Struthio camelus: one gene and its partners. The protein of the gene in region 3 binds, or shares a complex with, the protein of the main gene of each other region. Links are inferred from orthologs where the notes say so. Each region holds a gene or a part of one and is shown on either strand. Other genes may lie near its edges. The genes, in order: RAMP1, RAMP3 and CALCR.

Region 1 (7,497 bases), on a different chromosome or scaffold from region 3:
CCCAAAGCGTACCAAATTCTTCATGCTCTGATTTTGGTTTCAAGAATATAAGGAGTCAGTTTGGATGTGTGGAATACTAGGAAGAGGAGATACTGATTTAATTACAAGACCAGTAGTATTTATGGTGATAGCTGGACAACTGTAAGGACCTTTACCACCCTTTGCATGTTGTTTATCAGACTTAATTCTCCAGGCTAGGTATTTATGTACATGTGTCAGTAGCATATAAGTAGACTACAGCAAAACCTTAACTTGAGCAGAACTTTTGTGCATTAAATACTAGAACTGTAATAGAAATCGATCCTGCCCAACCAGGTGAAATAGAAGCCTGGAGTAGAAACGATTCCACAGATGCATTAACAGTACAAATACTTGCTTATAGGCTATTCTTGGTCATTAATTCACCCCAGGCCTTATTCTAGGAAGGACTATCAGTGATCAGAGAAGTCCTTCAGAAAGACTGAATGTAGAGTAAGTGCTGAATACAGAAACATTGGATAGGATTTTAAATCCAGCATGAGATTATACCTGCTGTAGTGATGGTGAGGGTGAAAGACTCCCAACCAATATGCATGCTTGGCTGAGTTCCTTTTGCAGTGACTAATGTAATGCACGTTTGTTGGTTTGGCACTTGACTACCTTGTAAGCTTTTGCTGATGCTCCGTACGAATCAAAACAATGTTTAAAAAAAAAGTCTTAATAGTGATCTGCTGATTTACTTCTACAGGATTGCAAATACGGATGTAAACTCATCAAAAAAACTTATGTTATACTTCACAGTATTTTCCATTAGTAAGATTTTAATAGCTTTCGCGTGTGTTGCGCTTGTCAAATGGTTTTAAAATAGCATGAGTGCTTTGCAGTCAGAATTACTTCGACAGTAGTGTTTTTTGGTCTATGGCTTTGCTAAGGAGAGATCATTTAGAACAATTTTTACTTGCATAATGAGGGAGCTGTGAAATAGCCAAGTCATTAGTGAGTAATGGAAGAACTGTAAGCGTGTAAGTCAAATGTTTAAGAAAAAATGATTCTGGTCAAAGTTCTTTTATAGAAATTCTGGTTTGTGTATAGCTTCAGACTTCCTTGAAAGGTAAACACTTGGAAACCTTATGTTCTTGCAAAGTGGTGAAACATGGAACACAGTTTTATAGATACTACTTTTATGTCAAGCTGTGTTACGCAGCATTTTATGCATAACAAATTCAGCTTCAAAGCATCCTACCGACTCACTTTTTTCCCCCTGCCCCGCTTTGGCTGAATTAGCCCAGAGGTTGATGTATAAATGTTTATAGATCTTGCATATTTGTTAATTTTGAAGCCATAAGTTCATTAGAACAGGTGAGAGGTTGTTAAACCTAATGGCAGTCAACAGTTAACAAGAAATGCGATGATATGACAGCTATTCAGAGTGGTATTAAAAATGGCCGTTTCCCTTACAGTGCCAGTGTCTGCAGTTGGTAGTTTTCCATGAAATTAATAGTAAAGATCTAAAAACAGACATTTTCTGCTTATTGAGATTTGTCCCATCAAATCATGATTAAAATGCATTACTTGAGCAACATAAAGAAATGCATGGAATCTGTACAGTGTCTTTTGGCAAGTATGTTTTATTTTAAGGGTATCCATCTGGCACTCCTGAGTGATACCGAAATTCTGTCCAGCCCAAATGCACACACTGGTAGTATTCACTGCTTTCAAGTCTGGATTTTAGAAAACTGGTAGCGAAACTCGGTTTGTTTTTTATACTATAAACTGGTTTCTAGGAATGGATTTCTAAAATGTAAAGTTTACATCTTCCTTTTTTTTTTTTTTTTTTTTTTTTTTAAACCAGTGTCGACCAGATTTGTTACACAGAGATTATATATTTTATTTTCTTTTTAATCACTTCTTTCACATGGTTCTTGAAGCTAGGAAACTTCTGCATGCAGACTTCCTCCAAACTCTGTAGCAAAATTATCATAGCTTTTACTGATTTTTCTAGCACGCTAAATTTGCTGGTGTTCCTTTTATCTCAGTTCAGGTGTATTCATGCTAAATTTACCTGCTTCCTCTGTTTGTTTGTTTTTAAGGTGATTTCTCTGACAAGGAGGAATTGATCATCTCGCTTGGAAGATTTTGCAAACTCTGTACTCCAGCTTGTTCCAGGATCATATTGTGTTTCTTACTGGTTTTACTGCAGCGGATCTTAATGAAAATTCACGTAGCATCATCGCATGATTTGTGGTCTTATGCGAGACAAAATAACCTGAAGATCGCTTGGGGGTGTCTTTTTGTGTATGAAGATCTTAAGTGGTTCTTCCCAGTTTTCCTGTTCTCCACAGTTGGCTCAAGCATTCAACAACAGGTTTCTCTAAGTGATATAATTAAAGGAGAATGTTTCAGTGAAACAGGACTTCTCCAATACTGGAAGGACGTTTCTATGCTTAGTGATCACTGAAGTAGACAACCCCCTTAATTCTTATACACCTCTTAATTTTAGGCATTTTAGGTAGCTGGTAAGTTGGTTCAAAGTACTACATGTTTAATAAATTGCCAACGTGTTTAAGTTCTTTCCAGATCATCTCATTCTGAATAGTTTGTAGAAATCTCACGTATCCTTTTAACACAAGGCAGGGAAGGGACGACGTCAGAGGAAGCTTTGTTTTACAAAACCAGGCCTCAGTGTTTCCCATACTCATGGACTTTGTTACGTAAACTGCAGTGTTACAACAGCAGCAATTATTCAGGAGCAGAGTGATCTTGAGTCCATTTTCATTTGGCAGTTCTGTAACGTGCTTCTGAGTCTGATGGCCAAATACTTCCTTCAGGATGATGTTCCACCCTAGACTTCTTTTCAGAATATGGAATTTTTTTTTTTTTTGGTCTTATAAATCCACTTCCATGGCTGTAAACAGAGGATGGGTGCCTAAATCCTTCCGTTGTGCCACATAGCCTGGTATAGTGGGACATCCCCCAGAGGAAACTTGGTTTGCGTTGCATAAGTTGACACAAGGGGAGGGGGAAGGATGGGGGGGATGCAAGCGTATTCTTTTGTGTGTGTGGTTAGTGTACAGAAGGGGTATAGCTTTTAAATCCTCTTCTAGCAGATGAAGAAAAGGCAGCTTGGGTGTATGTGTCTGGTAAGGGGGTGAGGAGAACTATCTTTGCTGCTGCCAGGCCCATGTTACCGTATCGCATGGCGAGGCAGTACGTTGTGGCTGTCCAAATCTCTCTCTTTGTTATACTTTGTTCTCGATCCAGGCTGCATTTGCTGCTGAAAAGAGTCTGTCTTGCCTGTGAATAAAGGTTAAAATTTCTTCTTCAAAAAGTTGTGCTTATGTTTTGCTGTTTTCACATTTCATCTCTTCCCTCTCCTCGTAGCAGAACTATTGCAGACAACGTGCTCAAAGCCTAGCACTGTGTTTCGCAGCTGATGTTTTTAAGTTGGATCCTGAAGCTGCAGTTGAGGCCTCGGGTCTGTTTTCTTCCCCGTTCACATCAAGATTAAAACAGCTCTAGGCTTTGCTCTGCCCTGTTATTTGGCCAGCCAATGCTGCCCTTTCCCTTCCCCAGACTTGATTCTGTAATTAAACAGGAGTTATTAGTGCTGTAGGTAAAGCTGACTTTGTGGCTTTGTTCCTGTTGGGAAGGCAGACGCATGCCTAATGTTGAAACGCTGAAACGAGGCCTGGCACGCTGCAGCGGTTGCTTGTTCATGCAGCCTTTTCAAAGGGAGAGCTAACTCAAACGGTGAGAGAAGGCGTTTGTGGGGTGGCGAGGAGCACCTCCTGCTCCGCCTGACCTCTGTACAGCTGGAGACCTCGTTCGTCTGGATGTGTGTGCTCTTAAATTTCTGAAGAGCCCAAGCGAGGCACCTTTCCACATTCGGGCTGGGCAAGAGTTCAGTCGATGAGCTGCAGGTGGAGCTCTACTTGCTCAACAATGCTTTTGCACTCCAAGTAATACATACATATGTGGTGGGTGGGTGCCTGTGTGTACGTATACATGTATGTATATTCTTTCTGAAGTTGCATGACCACAAGAAGGTAGTGTCCAAGAGTCTGTAAACAAAGAAAGGGAAGGCATGCTTCTTCTCCTTAGGCTAGAGGGAGCACCTTAGCAAAAAATGGAAGGAGGGCAAAGGAAAACGTGTGGGGAAGAAAGGATTTCCTTGGGTTTTCCTTTGAGAAATTTTCCGTTCCCTTGCCCCGCTCCCCGTCTCTGGACACCTACCTGCCTGCTCCGAGAAGATGGAGTTAACTCCAGCTCAGCTGGGCGTGACAAATCTCAGCTGAAGTCATCACAAAGAGTGGTTGGCTCCCCCCCCCCCCCGGCCAAAAAAACCAAACAAACCCACCACTCCGACAAACCAGTTAGAGACGGTTTACAGGACAGAAATCCCAACACGGGAGGAAAGCGCTCGGGAGAGGGAGGGAGGGAGGGAGGGCCCGGCGGCGCTCCCGCGGGCGGCCGCGCAGCGGGGCTCGGGAGGCGGCGGCGGCCGCCGGGCAGGTGGCTGCGCGGAGCGGCTGAGCGGCGCGGCCGCCCCCGCGCCCTTCCCACGGGCGGGCGGCCCACGGCGCCGCGGATGGCGGCTCTCCTACCTCGGCGCTTCCTCTGCTTCGTGCTGGGTGAGTGCGCGCCCCGCCGCCGAAACCCCCGCCCGGGGCTTAGAGGCAGCCGGGCTGTTCCTCGGGTCAGTGCGTTAGCGTCCTTTTCCTGCCGGGAGGTACCGTCCCAGCGGCTCCGAGCGCTGGGGAATAGCAAGGAGCCTAAAGGCGGCCCCTAAACGTGCCGGGGCGGGCGAGCGGTGCTCCCTGGCGCGCCCCGCTGCGCCCGACGCCCTTTCTGAGATCTTAGGTTTTCCCAAAGCCTGCTCGCTTTGGATGACTTCCTCTGCCCTTTCTTCCAGAAGTTCAGATCAGCTACCAGGAGGCTGTTTCAGGATCCCCCCCCGCCGCCCCCAACCACCACCGTTTCTGAACGGGACACGCGGAAAGGGCCGCGACTGTTCTCGCCACTCGTCTCCCTCGCGGAGGTTTCGGACTCGCTAGGTGCTGCCGGTCCAAAAATCAGGTTGGAAATTCTCGCGCTACGCGACGGTTTGCGCCCAGGGCGCTCCGGCCTTCTTCAGTGCTGGGGGGGGAAAAAACCCGGACCCTGCGTTGGTAGCACTCGGAATAAGAAGCGTATTTATTTAAGGTGACTTAAAAGGGAAACCGCACACCATCCCTGTGACACTGAGCTGGCAGGAAACTGAAGCACTCTTTGAGGAAACTCAGATTTCTTCTCTTTCTCCTCCTGTCCGTTCTCCCGCGCTCTTTTTCTGCTCCAAACCCTGGTAAATAATGTATCGAGCTCCGCCGCATACAACGCTCTTCTCCGTGCAGCGTCATAAACTATTTACTATCTTGCAGCCTGTGACTGTTCACAGGGAAATACAAGACGGCGCGGTCAGACAAAACGCATTCTCCGTGGTCGGTGGTAGAGAAACGCTCAGTGTACCTGACGAAGCAGGAAACAGTATCATGTTAATGCCTGCGATTAGCAATTCTTGATTATCTCGGATTTTTCTCTGCTGTGTTTTTCTAGTCCCTTTCCCCTTTGTTTCTTTAAAAACAAATTAGAAATCAGCTTCTTAGGCTTTCTTACCCGCCAGCAGGTTAAGCATTGGTTGCCCCCTTGTTTCTCACGCGAGACAATCAAATGTAATATTATAGTAACCTGCTAAAAAAAAAAAAAAGAGGAGGAGCCCCGTCGGGAATGCTTAGCGAGAGCCCAGTCCTAAAAAAACAAAACCCACCGACCCCTCGTGTTTATTTGCCGTCCCCGGAGCCGTAACGCCGCGGGGATCCTGTGTGTGCCGTCGTGGGCCGCTTTTCCCAGCTGTGAGCGCAGGATTTGAGTTGCGAGCGGGATTCCCGGGGGTTATTTTCACAACTGGGACGGCCTCGCCGGTCGAGGGACTGGGAAACCTCCAGCGGAGCAACAACATGCTGCAGCACCCCAAATCCGGACTAAAACCAACCCGTACAGCACAAGCGCCCTCTCCCAGCCTCTGCCATGCCGTCTGCCGCTTTCGTTCGCCGGCAAAACGGAAACGCAGTGGGAAATCCCGGCTGGGCCGGCGGTGCGTGAGCATCTCTGACCCCGTTGCGGGAGCATGGCTGTTTCTTGGTTGTGCTTCCCTCCTGGCTTATCCTGGTTTTAGTGAGGGGTCTCCACTCTCCGACCCCCCGGTCCGAAAGGGAGAGAAACGGTGCCGCTGCGGTTCGAGAATAGCCGGCTCGGGCTTTCTTGCCTTCCCAGCAGCCTGTGGCAGCAGGAAGGCTCCCTCTGTGCAAGCCACTTAGCCGTGATAGATGACAGATAATTGCGGCGCTGAGCGGTGGGTACGTTTGGTTTGTCCTGCGTCCTCTCTTCACTGGGTTTTTTTTTTTTTTTTTTTGAGCACATTCTGCACTATTAGCAAAAAAAAAACCAAAACCACGCCACCAATTCGACGCGTCCTCCCTGTCTCCCGCAGGAGCCTTTGCAGGGCTTTTTGGCTGCGGGGATGGAGCCCGTGAGCTGGCGCTGCCAGACTCCCGTTAGCTCCGAGCCAGATGTTGCCTCCTAAATCCGCGTGCAACCCCCCCCCCGCTCCGGGCCACGAGAGGGTGAGGCAGCTCCGCGCTCAGCGAGGACCGTGACACCCCCTGGCCCCGGGGGTGCCCGTCCTGGCAGCATCAGCTCAGCCTCCTTTTCTATGCCGAAAAAGCCTTTTTGAGCTGCCCGGGCTTGAAGCGACTTTGCAGCTGGCTGCCGAGTCCTTAAAAAGCCGCGACGGTGAGGATGTCAACTGTCCAAAAATAGCTGCAATCTCAGTCAGCAGACCCAAGGTGTAGCCGCACCCTGAGGTCTCAGGTAAAGGTTAAAAAATGGGGCTTTTCCCGGTTCTTTGGCCGCGGTTCCCTGCCGAGGCCGGCAGGCAGGAGGCAGCGCGCCTCGTTCGCTCTCGCCGAATGGACTGAGAGCTTTGAAAGCGACGGGTCCAAACTGAGAGTCATCACTAGACCCGAGCGAGCTCCTACTGCTGCAAGAGCTGGCTGCAGAGCGTCGCTCGCTTACGAGGGGAGAAAACCCTTAAAAAGGAAAATAGCTTGTTCCCAGGCTGCTCGCGGGAAGGTTGTAGTCTGGAAACCGTTATGTCGAAAGCGTTTAGGCAACTTGCTCCTCTTTGCAGCCTCTGATGAACGCGCCCACGGGGCATTGCGGCCGTTTATTCTGTTTCCCGCCTTACTGCATTTGATTTATCCGTGTGGTCGCTTCTTTGCGGGCCATCTGCTTGTTTGCGTGAAGAGTATTAGTCTTGGAAGCACCTTCTCGTCTTGGAGGTGGTTACATCCAGGGCGTCCGCTGGCTGGTCCTGCCTCGGTCCCGGTAGCAGGGATTCGGCCGGGGAGAGATTTCCGCGAGCCTGGGGAAGGGCTGTTCTGGGGGCTTCCTGGGGCAATCGCCCGATACTGTCGGGAGTTG
Region 2 (8,012 bases), about 35 Mb from region 3:
ATGTTTCCATCTGTTTTCTTTTACCTTTCCTTTCATTTTCCAAGCTATTTCTCTTATTCTCAGAGACACAACCATGTATGGAGACATCATACATATTCCCTGTTGGCATTTCCCAAGCTCCTCAGACAGTCTGTCATGAGAGAACTTAATGCATTTTCTGTGTAAAAATTCAGGGCCTTTAAAACATACCATACAGTGAAGTGTTTAAAAGAGCATAGATTAATATTGGCTTTATTTGGTCTAGGAGGAATAAAGCATTGTTCATATTTTATTAATGTTTACATTAAAAATGAAGGCATGATTTGTTTACATTAAAAATGAAGGCATGATTTGTTTCCTACGCCTGAGCCAAATTACAAAGACTTTCTTTTATACTCACGCTTCTGCCTGATGTACAAAAAGATGAATAGTAATGCGCAACAGGAAGAAAAGATCACAGGGTGTATCACTAGAGTCAAGCACAATCCTAGAATGCCTCTTACGATAAGAGGAAAAACAGTTGGAAATCAGCTACACATACTAGCTCCTACAGTTTAGCTCTGCGGTCCCTTGAAGAGATGCTTTTATAACATAGATCATAAAACAAGCCAGATCAGATGGAGTAAAAGTCAGAATGAATAGCATGTTAGCCATCTATATCTGTCAAAGCTTTGTGCCATGAGTTGCATTCCCATATTACTGCTGCTAAGGGAACCGAAGCAGGAAGAAAAGTCCTTCAATAGATCAGTTGCAGAGCAGGCTTAACCCTATGCCCAAGCTTCCAGTCACGTATTTTAAGCTATCCTGCCATTCTCAAGCCCCCATGTATCAGCATACATATAGGGACAGGCGCTTTAGCGGAGAGCCCTTGACTCTGGAATTTGCTCCTACCATCCCTCTGTTAGCATCCCAAAGCAGGGATTGTTTGTTGACTTCCAAGGAATGTTTCCTACCTTCGTTATGTATCTTGCATTTGAAGTTTGGGGGTAGGAGCCAGAAGGCCTCTATCTGGAGTCCTTACTATCGTTGTCCATTGCTATTTTGTGTAATTTGATTAACAACACTACTTTAAAAGAATCTTTCTTGTTTCTAGAGGATAGAATAGGGTACATACAGCTGTAGGGGGAAAATAAACAAAAGTCATCCTCTTTCACAGCAAATAAAATTCACTTGAACTACTTTAGTTCTTTATTTCATCCTGGAAGTAAATTCATTTCCATATAATATCTGTTCTGCTTTCCCTTGATGTCTGTCTTGACACTTCTGAAGCCATTTTTATTAGCCTTGATGGCGTGTAATAGTAGCTTGCTATGTTCTTTTTTTTTTTTTTTTGCATGAATGCACTTTAAAATACAAGAAAGCTAACAAAATATGAATATTCCAATTCCTTTAAAAAAAGTACACATTTTATACCAATGGGAATGCTGCCAAGTAATAATTGAGTAGCTCAGCATCTCAGAAAATGACAGTATTTTGAAATACCTACATGATGCTGATAGTTAAGCATCTAACCAATAAGAACCCCACTGAAATCACAGACCAAATTCACATGTATCTTAAAGTTTTGGAACAGTGCCATAAGTATTTGTGTACTCCCATAATCAGTGTCTGTTCTTATGTGAAAATCAAGGTATTTACATAGAAAAATGTCTTTTTTTCCCCCCTCTTTAGTTCAGGTCATGTAGGCATAAAGAATTTCAGCTAGTGAAATTTGATGTGCTTAAAATCATTTTAGCTTTATGTGCACTCAATACCACAGTCTGGTCTTTGAAAAATGTCTTTTCAGTCATAGGAAGATGCCATTTACTAATAATAATATTTTTAATATATTTGTATTTTTTCTACATTGGAGAAAAAAGACAGGAGAAAATGTTTGCGTGAAATTATGCAAGCAGAACACAGAGGAGGAAATGGTTTTAATTCAGGTCCTTTTTATGTATTTTTTTAAAATTTCTGGAATAGGAAAGACATGGTCGTAGGACCGCTGAATGGGAGAAGAAAGATTAACCAGTTGAAAGCAAGATGACATATTCTCAGTTTAAAAACAAAAAAGGCAGATGAGCTGAACCTCCACCTGCTCTTCCAGACCTCATTTCAGTAAACAATTCCATTAAGATGTGGTTTTAAAATCTTAATATATCTTTTATACAAAACTACTTATTTTGCTAGGAACCACAGAAGAAAACCTTCTGGCCCGCAGTGGATCAGATATCGATCTGCACAGACAAGTGGGTATTCTGTAAGGCCAACACTTCATGCTACAAGGAAGGGCAATGTTACTTTTCATGATGTAGTATCTTTACCTAGTTTTCTTCTGAACAGTTGTTTCTGCAGGATCAGTTTAACCTCTGCAGATGAGATTTCATTACATTATCTCACACAACTATGAATGATCTGGTGCTCATGATGATACCTGTCCTGTCTGGCTTGATTCCACCTCCCTTTTCTTGTTTCAAACTCCCTGAGAACTTTAACACTGCGACAGCCACTTACCTGTCTGTTGCTGTCATTTTTCTAGTCAGTGGCTTATTAGGAGGATAAGTATCTGAAACAATGCTTGAAGTGATGTGATGGCAGCATTCTCTGCAGGGTACCTGAAAATGGGTTGTTTTCTCTGGAGGCTGTATTTTTGAGAATTACAACAAACTATACTTTTGAGAATATTATTACTGCTTCTTGTCAAGGAAGGGATTTAGAGTTATATACAGCAGTTAGAATTTGTAGGATTTCTTATTTGAAGGCGAAACAGATTTCCACTGCTGGTATAGAGATGTGAAGTTGCTGAGGCAGATTTGCAAAATAAAAAGGTTCACAGCCTTTCTGAAGTAAATGTATTAGCATTACTGCAACTGATAGAAACAGTGTTAGTGAAAGCCTTTACACAGCTAAAGTTGCCTGTTATTGATAGTTCTAATCCCATGACAATTTTGTTCAGATATACCTGCATATCAGAATTACTCATTTTAATACATGTAGCTGAAGATACAGGCCAGCATAGTTTGCTTGTGCTCTATTATAACTGGACCATTTCTAAATTAGTGCATTTGCCTGTAAATTTTAGCTGTTGTTCTACCTTGAAGGTTTTACTTGCATCTTCATAATATCTGCCACAGATATAAAATGGGAAGTTCTGGCTGAATCTTGCTAGTTGAAAGCAGTAACTTGTGAATCTAGAAATCTGCCAGTTTTGCATGGAGTTTTTTCTAATCTGAAACAGGTGAAGATATTGAAAATAGATTAGAAGAAAAATGTCTGCATCATCTCCAATCCTGCATAATGTATATTGTAAAATATATGTATAATGTATGCTGCATCATTTGCAGTATATGAAGTATATGAGTGTCTTAACACTCCTGAAGACTGGTCCAAATTCTTGGAAATACTATTTGTGATGTCAGAGATTGACTGTAACAGATTTTGAAAGGGAAATTGAAATCTCACTGTTAGGAGGGATGCTATAGTGAGTCTGCAGCGTGTGGAGCTTCATACTTGTCACTACTCTGCGTTCTGTAGTCCTTTTGATAGGAGTAGCTTGCAGATACTCCTTGCAAAGCAGAGGTGCCAGCCCCTCAGTTGAAGGAGGATCTCCCTGACCTATTGGTTATTTATGGCCCGTGGAATTTTACCAGATTTGCTTTTAGCTAAGAGGAAGAAGCGGCACGCAAATAAAGGAGGTTCATTGTAACTTATGCACTTGAATGTCTGTAGAGCCACTTCAACACATTGCATTCACAATCATCTCTGTGGTTTCTCAAGTTTTCCATTTCCTTCAGCCTAGATAACAGCATAAATTAGACGGCTGCTTTTAGTCTGTGTATGGAGTACTTTGCCTTCAGATACCGGTAGCATAATCCTGTAGCATTGGGGTCACTAGCTGGAACTCTCCAAAAACTTTGAAAGTTACTCTTCCAGGCAGTATTTAAAGTCAATGTGAACAACCCAACTGATGCAGAAATGTACATCTGTTCTTGTGTAGGACATTAGCATTTTTTGAAGTCTCAAGTTTTGCGATACATCCGACCTTCAACAATGGCAGTAACTTCATGTTCTGCTCACACGCAGTTCTTGAGGTTGAGCGTTCCTGTACTTAGAAACACGCTCTGGCTCCTTATTAAAATTGAACAGTATAAATATTGTTAGCCAAGAAAAGGCTTCATTAGTGGCTTCTCAGTGTGGTGGTTCTTGCTAGGGATGCTAATTTCCTAGAGAGAGAGCTCCAGGAACACAGCCTTTAACTGTTGATGACAATGAGGAGCTGTACCACTCCCCCTCTGGATAGAGCTGTACAGAGACAAAATGGCAACAGGAAAATACATTAAGCATTTTCTTCAAGGTCCTGGCTCCTCTGTGCTGGCATCAGTGCAGGGTTAGGATAGCTCTCTGCACATATTCAGCTGTAAATACTAAGGAGGCTAATATGTTGGTCCCCAGTGACCTCCAGCCACTCACGCCTTTGTCCGTGCTGCCAGCGTGTCACAGCAAGAGAGGGGAGGCTACTCTGACTCCTGGGGTGGGGGGGCAAGAAGTCTCCCATGGGATTCCTGTGGCTTGCTGTGGCTCTTGGAGGGCCCAGAGGCACGGCAGCACTTGTACGCATGCGTGTACACTCACATGTGCATGCTCTAATACATACTGACATGTGTGCGTGATCACATGCACACACACACACCTATGCACTTACATGCATGCACACTGACCTGTGCGCTCATATGCACCAAGCATGCATGCACATGTGCACACACACGTACACATGCACTCTCAACATGCATGCACACATGCAGGCACTGACATGCACCCATGTGCACCCAAGCACACTCATGCTTGCACACGAGTGCACCCATGCATGGACACAGGCACGCAAATGCACGCACTCACGGGCGCGTTCGCACGCACCATGCATGCACACATAGGCGCACACAGCTCCCTCCGAGGCCGTTACGCCCCCGCCAGCAGCCCCGCCGCAGCCCGCCCCCGCGGGCCCCGCCCGGCCGCGGGGCCGCCCCCGGCGCTCAGAGCACCCGGGGGCGGAGGAGCTGCGCCCCTCCGCGCCGCCCCCGCTGCTGCCGCCGCCGCCGCCCGGGGCTGGACGCCGCGGCATGAAGAGGAGCCTCCCCGGTGGGGGGGCTGAGGCGGGCCCGAGCCCTGCGCGGCTGCGGACCGGCCGCCCCATGCGGGCTCCGTCCCCCGCGGCCGCTCGCCGCCGCCCGCGCCGGGATGGAGGCGCCCAGCTGCTGCCGCCGGCGGCAGCTCCCCGTCCTGCTGCTGTGGGGTAAGTGGGGGGCGCCTGCCGGGGGGGCGTCCCGGCCACTGTGCCGAGGCGCTCCGGGACAGCGGCGGCCACCGAGGTGTCCCCGCTGCGCCTGCCTTGCCGGGGGGGGGGGCAGCGAGGGGCTGCGGAGCATCCTCAGCCGTGCGAGCGCGTCCCCGGGGGCGGGCGGGCATGAAGTTGGGCATAGGCGGGAGCTCCCCGCCGTGCGTGTGTCCCCCGGCCCTGCGGATCATCTCTTGGCTGGGGGGGGGGGGGGGTGTCCCTTGCGATAGCCATCGCGGGGAGCGGGCGGCGCGGGAGGGAGGCGGAGAGGCGGGCGGCTGCCCCGCGGGGGGAGCCCGCCCGAGCCGCGCTCCGGCCGCGCCGGGCGGGGAGGCTGCGGGGCGCTCGGCCCCCCTCGGCTCTCCCGCGGGCTGGAGCCGCCGGCCTCGCTGGGGAAATACTCCCGAAGCCCCGCGTGGGGAGTGACACAGCGGGTTGCGCACCGGCTACAGCGGCTAGGGCCGGCGGGCAGGCAAGACGCGACATCAGCAAGGCGAGCGGCTGCTTAATCGCTGGTCCCACATCTCGCAGACGGATACTGCCAGGAGATAAATCCAGAAATGCTGTACTGTGCGTTGATACCTTACCCTCCTCCCCCCACCCCAAGAAAGATGATCTGACCGATTTTTGCTGTTATTTAGCTGTCAGATCCCAAATCTGATTCTGGGAAGGCAGGTTTGATCTTTGGGAAAGAGGAGGGTTTTCTGCTTCTGCTGAAGGATTGATTGCAGTTAGGATGTGTTCTGTTACAAACAGCCGGTTGTAAAAGTGCAGATATCTTTCAGAGCCTTCATTTATTTAATTCAAGATTAACTCTGCTGTTAGAAGTACTTCATTTTTCTCTTGTCAGGCAGCTTGCTTTAGGATGCCCAGATGTAATGTGCTGTAGGCAGGTTTAAAGTTGCTGGGAGAAGTCCGTTCTGATCTTCCTCACTCTACAGTAACCCCAGAAATGTGAGTTAATTCCTTGTGAGTCACAGATAGGGAAGAAAATCAGGCCTCATACATTTTAAAAGGGTTATCTGAGGACTCTCTAACTTTGTTTGCTAACTTGATGCCCCTTTCAAAGTACAAAGTTGGCAAATACTGCACATCTTTCTGTGAAAAGACCTATAAATAAATGGATAGTTGTTTCTGACAAGGTTTGGTAGCACTGTCTTGATTTGATCTGTAAAAAGAATGACACATCAAATGCTTAAACTTTCTGATTCTCTGTGGCTCAAGGATTGCTAAAATCTTACCTTGATCACACAAGCTTTTTGTTGCTTCCTAACTGAAAAAGAATAAAAAATGGCCAACACCTGTCTTGACGCTTAAGGATTTATTTTTTCAGTGTTAAATTTAGGGAACCAAGCAGTCTTTTTTTTGACTGGGAAGACATCAGGGTGTTGTCGTGACTTTTACAATACAAACCTGATTACCGGAGATTTATTTTCAGAGAATGAGCGCAGTGAGGAGTAACGTCCCTTGTAGCTCAGAAAGCTAGGAAACGTTTTTCACCAGAGAGACACTAACCACTAAATCAGGTGTTAGAAATTTTTGCCTGTGCTAGTTGCTTTCCTAACATAAGGTTGCAGAAGAACTGATTTTGATGGTATCTGTTAGCTGATAATGTATTACTTTTGACTGAAGTTTGAAAGGGTAGATGCACTGAAGAACAAAATGCAATTAGACTAATTTCCTGCTAGAAAAGCCATTTAGGAGTTCTGAAAGTTTTATAATGTGAATTCCTCATGATAAGGAATGCTTTAAGTGGCAGAAAACCAAAGTCGTTCTTTCTCAAGTAATATAAATGTACTTTTATGTCAGTTATTCCTGAAGGATTTTCACTTGAATTGATCATGTTTTCTTCCACGTTTCCTAATGGCTTCTGCTAACCAGAGACCCATGAATGCGGTCTTTAAGGTAAAGATGTTGCCATGATGCCTCAGTGTTAGCTCTCATTGAATTCGGTGGGAATTCTGTCTGCATAGGGATTGAGACCTTACTTCTCTAAACTCAAACTACTGCTTTCTGCATATCTTTCTGTCTAAAGCTCTTAAAAAACATTATCACTATACAGAACCATCTGCTGAGTGTCATCACTCTTTTGCCAGGATGGCAAGACAGGCAGCGTGTTTGCTCCCTGGAAGCTTAGTAATTACTGCAGAAGTGGGATTTGCTGTGATGTGGGTGTGCGGGGAAGCTGTGAGCTGAGGCAGCTGGTACACAAACAGTTAATCTGTACTGATTCCCCCTATGAAGTGCTGATAACATCCCAAATGTGGTGAGATGCACAGCTGGAAACTTGAGCTGTCAGGTGAAATCCTCATACTTTGTTTAGCAGAGCCTTAGATACTTAGAAGGCATCTACTTACTGTCATCTAATCACCTTGGAAACAATGATGTATTTAGCAAAATACTTTGAGATGTGGTTATTCTCTTTTTATGTATAGAAACAGGCATGGAGAAACTTCAGGGCTTGACCAGGATGTTTAACAGAACAGGTTGTTTTTTGTGTTTTTTTTTTTGTTTTTGTTTTTTTTGTTTTAAACAAATGGTTGTTATTTTGACTTCCTTCTCCAAACATTTGCTCTTTCATCCTTTAGATAATGTCTGCATTTCAGGGGTACTATTTGTACCAGATTAAAGCTACTTTTTTTTTTAATTCTGGAGGAGTTTCTCTCTCTCTCTCTCTCTCTCTACATACATATATAATATATATAAAATATCTCTATAGAAA
Region 3 (8,055 bases):
ATTTTCACGGTGACATGAATAACATGCTGGTCAGACTTACAAATGTAATAAAAAATTCTCACTGTTCACAGGAGCACACAGCAGAATAAAGATTTGAGGTAAATTTCGCCAGTGTTCACAGAACCAACATGAGCCTATGCACTACTTTAGTTTTACTTAAAACTTATTTCAAGGGCATAAGTAAGGCCCGAATGATGCATAGGCCCTGGGCCATTCTTACAAAGGTATGAAACTTTACCTCTGTAAATGTACATAGATATGTTTAGGCATTAATAGATAGATTCTTGCATTGTCTATAACTCCAAATAACATGAAGTTTCTCCTATAAAAAAGACATGAGTGAAGCAATAAGTGTAAAAGTTATGCTAATAGGACTTTGCAAGTATGTTTGATTTATGAAATATGCCTGCCAGTGCTTTGAGGAAATTTCATACTGCTCCTGGAATAATTTCCAAAGCAGATTTGTGTAACCTATAATATTTAATGATTTATATACCGTACATGCAGTAGCGAAGACATTTCTAGCTGCTGTTGGTGTGTTTAGTTCCCCTGAAAAGCTCTTCTTGTGATGCTTGGCTCAGATTGTCTCCAGAATCCACGCACACCCACTCACTGGCTGGAGTGGCCCAGAATATGAGCTTCTGCAGCGTGCCTGGAAATACCTGCTGATTCTGAGCGAATCAGATGCTCACTCTTTGGAAACTATCCCATTGCCTAGGTTTTCATTATCCTGTTTGCTTTCTTGTTTTCTTCCTCTGTACAGAGCAAGCAAACCATGCTCCGTTTCTGCCACCAATATTTATAATTATGGAGTGCTTTACTAAGGGTAGCATATATTACTATCTACTAAATTAAAGTAGTCTCATATATTGAAAACTGAACAGACTATAAATACTAATAAATGAAATTTCTACATTAGGGAATCTATTCGTTTTTCCTTGTCCTGTGAAAACATGCAAGCAATTGATGTTCTTGTGTTTTTCATTTCCCTTTTTCTTTTTTACTTCTGTGTTTCCTAATTACTGATTTGCCTTCAAATAAGATTCTTCTCTTTCAGAGGCACTTGTCTCTTTTGCTTTCACTACAAAACTCTTTTGGAGATCCTCTACAAGTGTCCTGAGATATGAATTGAAGAATCAGTACGTTGATAAAGTAATTCAGATAAATTAAAACCAGACATTTAAGCAAGGAGAAGAATTTAATTACTAATATTTTACTGTACGTTAAGAAACTGACTGAATTAAATCTATCATGACATAAGGCAATTTGTATATCATTTTAATCAGATGTTTGACGTTGGATAAACACATAAACCTTGAATTTCAGATTTCTAAAAACAAGGCTAACAAAATTAATCCATTAATTTTGAAAAAGATTACCTTAAAAAAACAGTTAATTGGAAGATTTGATGGTTTCTGGGATTAGTAATAAAATACACATAAAATTCCCATCACTAGGCTGTTGTTTGTGACCCAGATAAGGTTTCCTCCTTCTGCAAGGCTATTTTCCAACTATATTTCTAAAATATATTCCTCAGAATATTTCTAAAAACTAATGCTTTGCATGTCTAAATAGTTAGAGAAATTGTCCAGACAAGTATTCTTCTCCATTTCTCACATCCTTTTTTCTAACTTTCTCTTTTGATTTCTCTAACACCGATTAACTCTACCACATCACTGAAAATGCTGTTCTCAAAACCTCCTTTCTCCATTCTTGTTACCTTACTGTAGAGAACTAGAGGTTCAAGATGGATGAGGTTTCACAGAGGCTACACTGGCAGCAGAAATAATACGTGAGTTATAGCATAACCAGAATTAAGCATTACCCAAGCACAGCGGTTCTGATAATTCAAAAGCACACACTTGGCTCAATGTACAGTGCAATCCATATGAAAAAATAACAATATTTTGCTGTACAGGAAGTTGTTTAACATAATATAGAGTTTCAAATACATATTAGGCTGACAATTGTTATTGTCTCTCTACTTGCTGAGAGAAGAAAGATATGGGGTAAATGTATGTTTAAAGACATTCTGTGCTATGTTATGCAGCAGCTCATCTTACCCTGTGCTAACCTGTGAGAACTGACAGTCTAAGTTGTGCAACATATCAGAGCCCCAGACTTCTGAGTAACTCACCCACTGTGCCTCATTTTGATTATCTCTCTTCTGCTTTTCTGGTTTTACTCCTCCCCGTTCACCAAATGTACTCACATACCTGTCTGTAGGAACTTTACTAATTACGTCTACAACACCGTTGTGTTCCCCTAGCAGCACTAGACTAAGCAGTCCCTGTGCCTTCCAGCCACCTGAGCATTTCCGCACTTGCCCTGATACCGCCCTATACGCTTGGTGTGGACTTCTTCAACTGACAGCAGCTTCATGAAGCTGAAAACTTGTCGTTCTGCAAATCCTTAATCCCAGAGTGACCTGTTTTTTTCAAAATTAAAAGAAGTTACCCAGTTACCCAGCAGTTACCCTGGCCATGCCAGATGCATAGCGTGAACAGTAGCTATACTGACCATACACGTTTCCCTCTCACAGGGCATATTTGCAGGCAGGCACAATTAGGAAGTCTGTGTTGCTGCTAATAGCGCTATAATTACTCTCAGAGTTTTCAAGCCAGTGAGTTCTAGGAGCGCAAAGTCACGATTACAAAGTCACATGTAAACAACTTAAATATTCTCATGGAAGACTTAATGGGCCTGATCTAACTTGTACTCAAGGTAATGGCAAATTCCCCATTCTCTTCACCCTGAACTGCTTTAGGCCAAATTTACTATTATCATCTTTGCTTAAATGTTGTCTCCTACACCTTCCGTTTTGTCTTCCAAATAGAGAATGTAGTCCTTACTAAAATTAATTATGTATAATCTGCTTACCAAAAGGTACAGCATGCTTACGTGGTCTTCTGGACACAGCTCAAAGCTCAACTCTTCCTATGCTCCAAACCAACTAGATGTGAACAAATCCTTATCTGAAAGGACTAAACTCCAGATAATCCCTGTGTGGTGCACCATGCCACTTAAGGAAGATATGCAGACCATGAGTAGAAATTGTTCACCTCCAAAGAGCTTGCAGTGCAGACCTCTTCACAGAAGACTGTGGAAATGCGTCTATCCATAGCCTCCCGTGAAAAGTTTGTGAGTCCGGCTGGGAACTGCTTTGATTTTCATTTCAAATTCTGCACCAAAATTTCAAAACAAAATCAGGGCAGTGTTTGTTTCACAAGTGGCTTACTTATAATACAATTAAAAGTAGACAAAATATATTTTAAAAATTGGTGATGTTGTAAAAAGAGAAAAAATGTATTTTCCATGAGCCAAACTGCAAAAAGATACAAGTTTCCTTTGTATGTTTAGCTTGATAACAGAGAGAAATCACTGAAATTTTGGAACCAAGTTTGACATTTTAAACTTCTCGTGGATGAAGCAATACCATCCCCTCACAACATAAAATAACAGCTTAGCTGCCTCTGCTGTACAGAAGTCCAAGACTGCTGTTATGACTCCTGAGCACAAATAGAAAGAAATAAAACTATCAAGGTGCAGTTAATAATAGATTTGCAATGATTATTTATGGGCCTGGTCAGCATTGCACATGCATGCCAAATAGTAACTACTCATGCTTGCAGTCCCATGGGGCACAATGGAATTGCCTAAAGCAGAACAGACTAAATCAGAAATTGCTGCTTCTGTGTGCAAAGTAATGGTTAACAAAAGGGAGTTTATGTAAATTAAAGAAAAAAAAAGAAGTACAAAAACTATTTGCAGATTATGGGATGACAGATTTATACTTCAGCAGATGTACAGTACTCAGTGAGAAAACAGAGAAACATAAAATCTGTTTTGAAGTAAGTATAAAAACAGTCATTAAGAATGTGGCATTTTCCAATCATAGAATGAAAACTATTAGCCAGACAACAGACACGTCAAGAAAAGAGATGGATCCACTGTCCAAAAAACCTTTAGTAAGAAATTAGTTGCTTGCCTTCAACCATTGAGAAAAGCAGGTAGTCCAGCTGCTTTCTGTATCTTTTAAAGCAATCTGTACTTAGTTCGTTACCCACCCACATACCTACCTCTAAAACCACTGGAAAAGAGAAAATATTCCAGGCTACCAGGTATGAGGAAAGCTCCCTATTTTTCCTCTTTCAGCTTATCGTTACAGTGAAAGGGAGGGGAATTCTCCTGCTCTCTCTAGGCTTCAGCTCATGGTTTTGCTTCAGTGCTTCAACAGCTCTTCCTACGCAGACATCTTCAGCACCTAAAACTGTGACTTACCTGAGCTGGCCTAAGAGCAGCTGGACATGACTCCCGGCAGACGACAGGGGTGCTCTGCAGCAGTTCTAGAATTAACAGAAACCTCCCCTAACTTCACTGTTTCTCCCTGAGAAAGCTCCGAACAGAGAAGCAACCATGGCATTATGAGCTCTCATAAAGGCAGTTCCCACTGATTCTCCTTGCCTCCACAAGAAAAAGTGTGAAACCTACAGTGAAAGTTTAAATCAAGGGATGATGGTTTAGATCAGTATTCCCTGAGCATCTCATCTTTATAAGCCTCTCCCCCACCCAGTGAATATATCCAAAGGACAGATTTATCTGATAGTACTGTCTAGAGCTAACTTTTTACACAGCTGCTGGAAAACATGGCAATGGGTTCCTCCTTCATGTGGAAGTGGATAGAAAGGCAGTCTGCTATGTTTGCATGCAGATTTCTTTAAGGACAGGCTGAATTTTGCCATAGGCTGTATGAGAAAGTGAGTAATGAGTTTAGCAGTTTTAAAAATTGGGAAGCATGGAATACCTTGCTGGGTGGAAGAAAAGCATCTGAGAACCACTGCAGTAAGAGCTAACTTTCCCTTCAGAAGTAAGTCAGAAGATTTAAAAGCAGATGTCAAAGCTCCTTTTATTAGAGGGCAGAAATGTCCTTCTTGCAGGGAGACAAAAGAGAAAAGCTATTCTTAGCCTGGTGGCGTTACCTGTTTAGCAAGCTGGTTTGCTTCCTGACTCCATCTGCTGGGAAGACACCCTACTACCTGCTGTCTGCACTGCTACATTTGGAAGAAGTGCAGAGGTGAATCACTATGCTTTCTCTCGGTCTCTCTCACTGTGGCTCGGTGGAGATTTAAATATTAAGCAGCTTGGAATAGTTAAAACAGAGAAGAAGTCCTCCCGGAATACTCCACGCGCAATCCCTACATGCTCTCTTGCAAAGCGGGCATTACTGGGTCAGTTCCTTCCTCTGGCTTTCTGTATAGCAGGGGAATGTTCTTCTTAGGAGGCTAGAGGCTGTCCTCAGCCTCTCCCTTTGTTTAAAATGCTTACATAACTTTTGGAGCAGAAACTGGAATTTAGATGTCTTTGCTGGCCGGTGAACGTTGTAGCCACCGCTTGCTCTTCCTCTCTGGCTCAGGGAACGGAGAGGGAAGTAGTTCGCGCAAACTGCAGCAGACAGAGAGGGGAGCGAGCAGACCGTCCGCCCCCGAGCGCGGTGGACGCGGGACGGCGCCCCGGAGGCCGGCGGGGGCTCCCCGCGCCCGGCTCCGCCGATGGCGGCGCCGCACCCTCCTCGCCCTCCGCCTCCCTGGCTTTGCTCCTCCGAAGGATGCCCGCGGTGGAGCCGGCACGCTGGGCTCAGGTCAGAGGAACTTCTCTGTCTGCCGCGCAGGGAGGAGCGCGGGTGGCTGCGCCGGGCCGGCCCCTCCGCGCTCCCTCGCGGAGCCGCCGCGGAAGGGAGCCGGGCGCCCCGCAGGCCCGGGCGGCGGGGCCGGGGCTGCCCCCCGCACGCAGGACGGGTCAGCAGCCCCCGTCTCACGCCAGCAGAAAGCGCGCTCAGCCGCGGCGACCCGGCGCGGAGCGGGGACGGTCCCGCTGCCCACGAGAAGGCGGCCGCCCCCACGCCAGAGCCGTGCGTCAAAGCCCGGCCCGGCCCGGCTCGGCTCGGCCCGCCCGGCCGCCCCCCCGGAGGGCGCCGGCTGCCACCCGGCGGGGCCGCGGGAGGCGGGCGCGGGGGAGGCGCTGCCGCCGCCGCCGCCGCCGGGCGCTCTCCGCCGCCCCGCACCGGCGTCGGCGTCGGCGCGAAGCCCCGGCGGGGAGCGGAGCGGAGCGGGGGGTGGGCGCGTTGCAGCCGAGGCGGGCGAGAGGAGGCAGATGCTTCCCGAGGCACATCCCCTCCGGAGGGGCTCGGCCCGCCCGTGCTCCGGCTGAGGGGCTCAGCCCGCCCGCCCGCCGCCGGGGCGCGCCCGCCGGGACGCGGGGACCCGCCGCGCTCAGGAGCAGCCCCGGCCCCGGCCCCGGCCCCGGCCCGGCGTTTCGGGAGCCGCCGTGCCATGCTGACTGACTGACGGGAGCGCGGGCTGCGCTCGTCGCGGAGCCCAAGCGCTGCCGCGGTGGCCCGAGGTGACGGGAGGCCGGGAGAGGCGCCCCGCCAGCGCCCGGCAGCGATGCGACTGTAAGTCCCGGCAACTTCGCCCGCCTGCCCTCAACCCGCCGGCTCCGGGGCGGGCTGCGGCCGAGGGTGGGATGCCGCCGCGGGACCCGCGGTAGGGAGAGAGGGGGGCTCTGCTTCGGGGGGCAAAGCCTGGTTGCCAGCAGAGCAAAGAAAAGGAAAAAAAAGGGGGGGAGGGGGGGCGTAGGAGGTGTGAGCAGGAGCCCCAGGTGCAGCGTGCGCGGTGTTGCCCCCTCGGAAGAGCCGGGGGCTGCCGGCTGCGGTGCGCGGCGCTGCCCTCCCGGCGGGTGGGCAGGAGCCGCCCGAGCCTCGGCCGCGGGCCGGGCCGGGCGGCGGCGGCGCTGCGCGGGGATTGCGCGGGTGCGCGGCGCCCCGCCGGGCCGGCTGGCGTGCCCCGGCGGCCCTGCCGAGCGGTGCTGGCAGTGGCCGCCTGCCAAGGGGTTAAATTGCGTAAGGGCGACGGGAATTTATGAATTCTTGAGTTTTATTTTAGCTTTTGCGCTGAGGAGCAGGTCGCTTCCAATGCGGTATAAATTATAGATAGTAGCAGTTCTCCATCCTGGAAGTACAGGGCATTTAAATGACACCTGAGTCACTAGGCAATGTTTCTCGTTCGTGTCAGATATTATTTCCATGTTCTTTTCCATCTGTCGAACTGATATCTGTATTTCCTTTCTCATCTGACACTGCAAATGTAAAAACAACATTATTAGGTCTCAGAATATTGCCATTGATGACAATTCATTGATATATGAGACTATTTACTTTATGTGTCCAAGTACAATAGAAAGGCCTGCCAATTTTGTCTTTAAATTGCTGTATTGATTTCATTCTTGTGGGCTTCTTGACAAGGTTAAGGTAGTTGACAATTTGTAAAGAAAAGAGAAAAACTTCTGTTTTATTTCAGTTACAGGATGTCGATTGTAGCTGAAATAATGGACGAAAAAGTCATTGATAAAAAAGGAGTAAATAGAAAGGTGTGTATCCTGAGACCTTGAAGCTGATATCTTCAATATCTAACAAATGCCTTCCTGCCATGCTTTTAAGTTCACCAACTATCATTTCCTCTTCTTAAGGGTAGTACAGTACATGATATTCTTCCCAGGACTGTGCTCTTTTTCTCTTACAGGAGAGTTAAATAATCTGAGTAAAAGGAGTTTAGAGTAAATTAATCAAGTCAGCGCATCAAAATGCATTTGTCTTTTTGTAGGCACTGAAGCAAATAAAGCTTCCTCTTTGGTGGAAAAGTGTTCATAGGACAGTATTCAGGACCCCTGTGTTCATAGGACAGTATTCGGGTGGAGAACCTGTGTCTTTGGTCACTGGAAGGGACCCTGCATTTCTTGAGGGCTGAAAGAGTATCAGTGCTGACCAGGGCGAGGTTTCTCTGTTACCAGCAGCTCAAGCTGCAGGTGATATGTAGCTGAAGAGGGAATTTAATTTATCACTCAGAATCCTAAGCATAAGTGTGAAGTAGATAAATATAGGAGAGCTAATATTTCCTTTTAATTTTTTCAGACATCTGACAACCTTTAGCAGTAAGTAACCTTTGCTAAGTTACCTTTGCGATGCTTACTATAGCTGTCATATACTGGCTAACATTAAAT

The links.
Region 1: the proteins of CALCR (region 3) and RAMP1 are in contact, whole or in part, in a cryo-EM structure (PDB 9AUC), measured with the Homo sapiens proteins. The link is inferred for Struthio camelus from reciprocal best matches to the Homo sapiens genes CALCR and RAMP1. Residues at the interface, in NP_001158210.1 of Homo sapiens: Arg45, Lys46, Met49, Asp50, Gln52, Tyr53, Tyr56, Asp57, Met59, Gln60, Gln61, Thr75, Trp76, Asp77, Gly78, Asn124, Arg126, Phe235, Leu238, Ile242, Thr246, Val250, Ala251, Gln257, Arg258, Trp261, Tyr262, Leu265, Phe269, Ile276; in NP_005846.1 of Homo sapiens: Trp59, Ile63, Tyr66, Arg67, Ala70, Asp71, Phe83, Trp84, Pro85, Val89, Asp90, Phe93, Leu94, His97, Gly98, Phe101, Ser103, Arg109, Ala110, Val111, Arg112, Asp113, Pro114, Ile118, Leu119, Phe122, Ile123, Pro126, Ile127, Val129.
Region 2: the proteins of CALCR (region 3) and RAMP3 are in contact, whole or in part, in a cryo-EM structure (PDB 8F0K), measured with the Homo sapiens proteins. The link is inferred for Struthio camelus from reciprocal best matches to the Homo sapiens genes CALCR and RAMP3. Residues at the interface, in NP_001158210.1 of Homo sapiens: Arg45, Lys46, Met49, Asp50, Gln52, Tyr53, Lys54, Tyr56, Asp57, Met59, Gln60, Arg74, Thr75, Trp76, Asp77, Gly78, Asn124, Arg126, Phe235, Leu238, Ile242, Thr246, Gln257, Arg258, Trp261, Tyr262, Leu264, Leu265, Phe269, Ile276; in NP_005847.1 of Homo sapiens: Cys57, Leu59, Ile63, Tyr66, Glu67, Thr70, Tyr83, Trp84, Pro85, Gln90, Ile93, Thr94, His97, Arg98, Phe101, Ser102, Cys104, Val106, His110, Leu111, Glu112, Asp113, Pro114, Val118, Leu119, Leu122, Ile123, Pro126, Val127, Leu129.

Annotation. Positions count from the first base shown.
Region 1 is NC_090947.1:4,641,275-4,648,771, forward strand, and holds the start of RAMP1 (receptor activity-modifying protein 1), read left to right. Parts: upstream 1-4,464; 5' UTR 4,465-4,567; coding exon 4,568-4,610; intron 4,611-7,497. UniProt on the Homo sapiens protein: Accessory protein that interacts with and modulates the function of G-protein coupled receptors including calcitonin gene-related peptide type 1 receptor (CALCRL) and calcitonin receptor (CALCR). Required for the transport of CALCRL to the plasma membrane.
Region 2 is NC_090943.1:62,830,908-62,838,919, forward strand, and holds the start of RAMP3 (receptor activity-modifying protein 3), read left to right. Parts: upstream 1-4,990; 5' UTR 4,991-5,193; coding exon 5,194-5,248; intron 5,249-5,835; exon of another isoform or gene 5,836-5,850; coding exon of another isoform or gene 5,851-5,860; intron 5,861-8,012. UniProt on the Homo sapiens protein: Accessory protein that interacts with and modulates the function of G-protein coupled receptors including calcitonin gene-related peptide type 1 receptor (CALCRL), calcitonin receptor (CALCR) and G-protein coupled estrogen receptor 1 (GPER1).
Region 3 is NC_090943.1:27,947,494-27,955,548, reverse strand, and holds the start of CALCR (calcitonin receptor), read left to right. Parts: upstream 1-5,035; 5' UTR 5,036-5,199; coding exon of another isoform or gene 5,200-5,228; 5' UTR 5,229-5,549; coding exon 5,550-5,638; intron 5,639-6,233; exon of another isoform or gene 6,234-6,443; coding exon of another isoform or gene 6,444-6,451; intron 6,452-8,055. UniProt on the Homo sapiens protein: G protein-coupled receptor activated by ligand peptides amylin (IAPP), calcitonin (CT/CALCA) and calcitonin gene-related peptide type 1 (CGRP1/CALCA).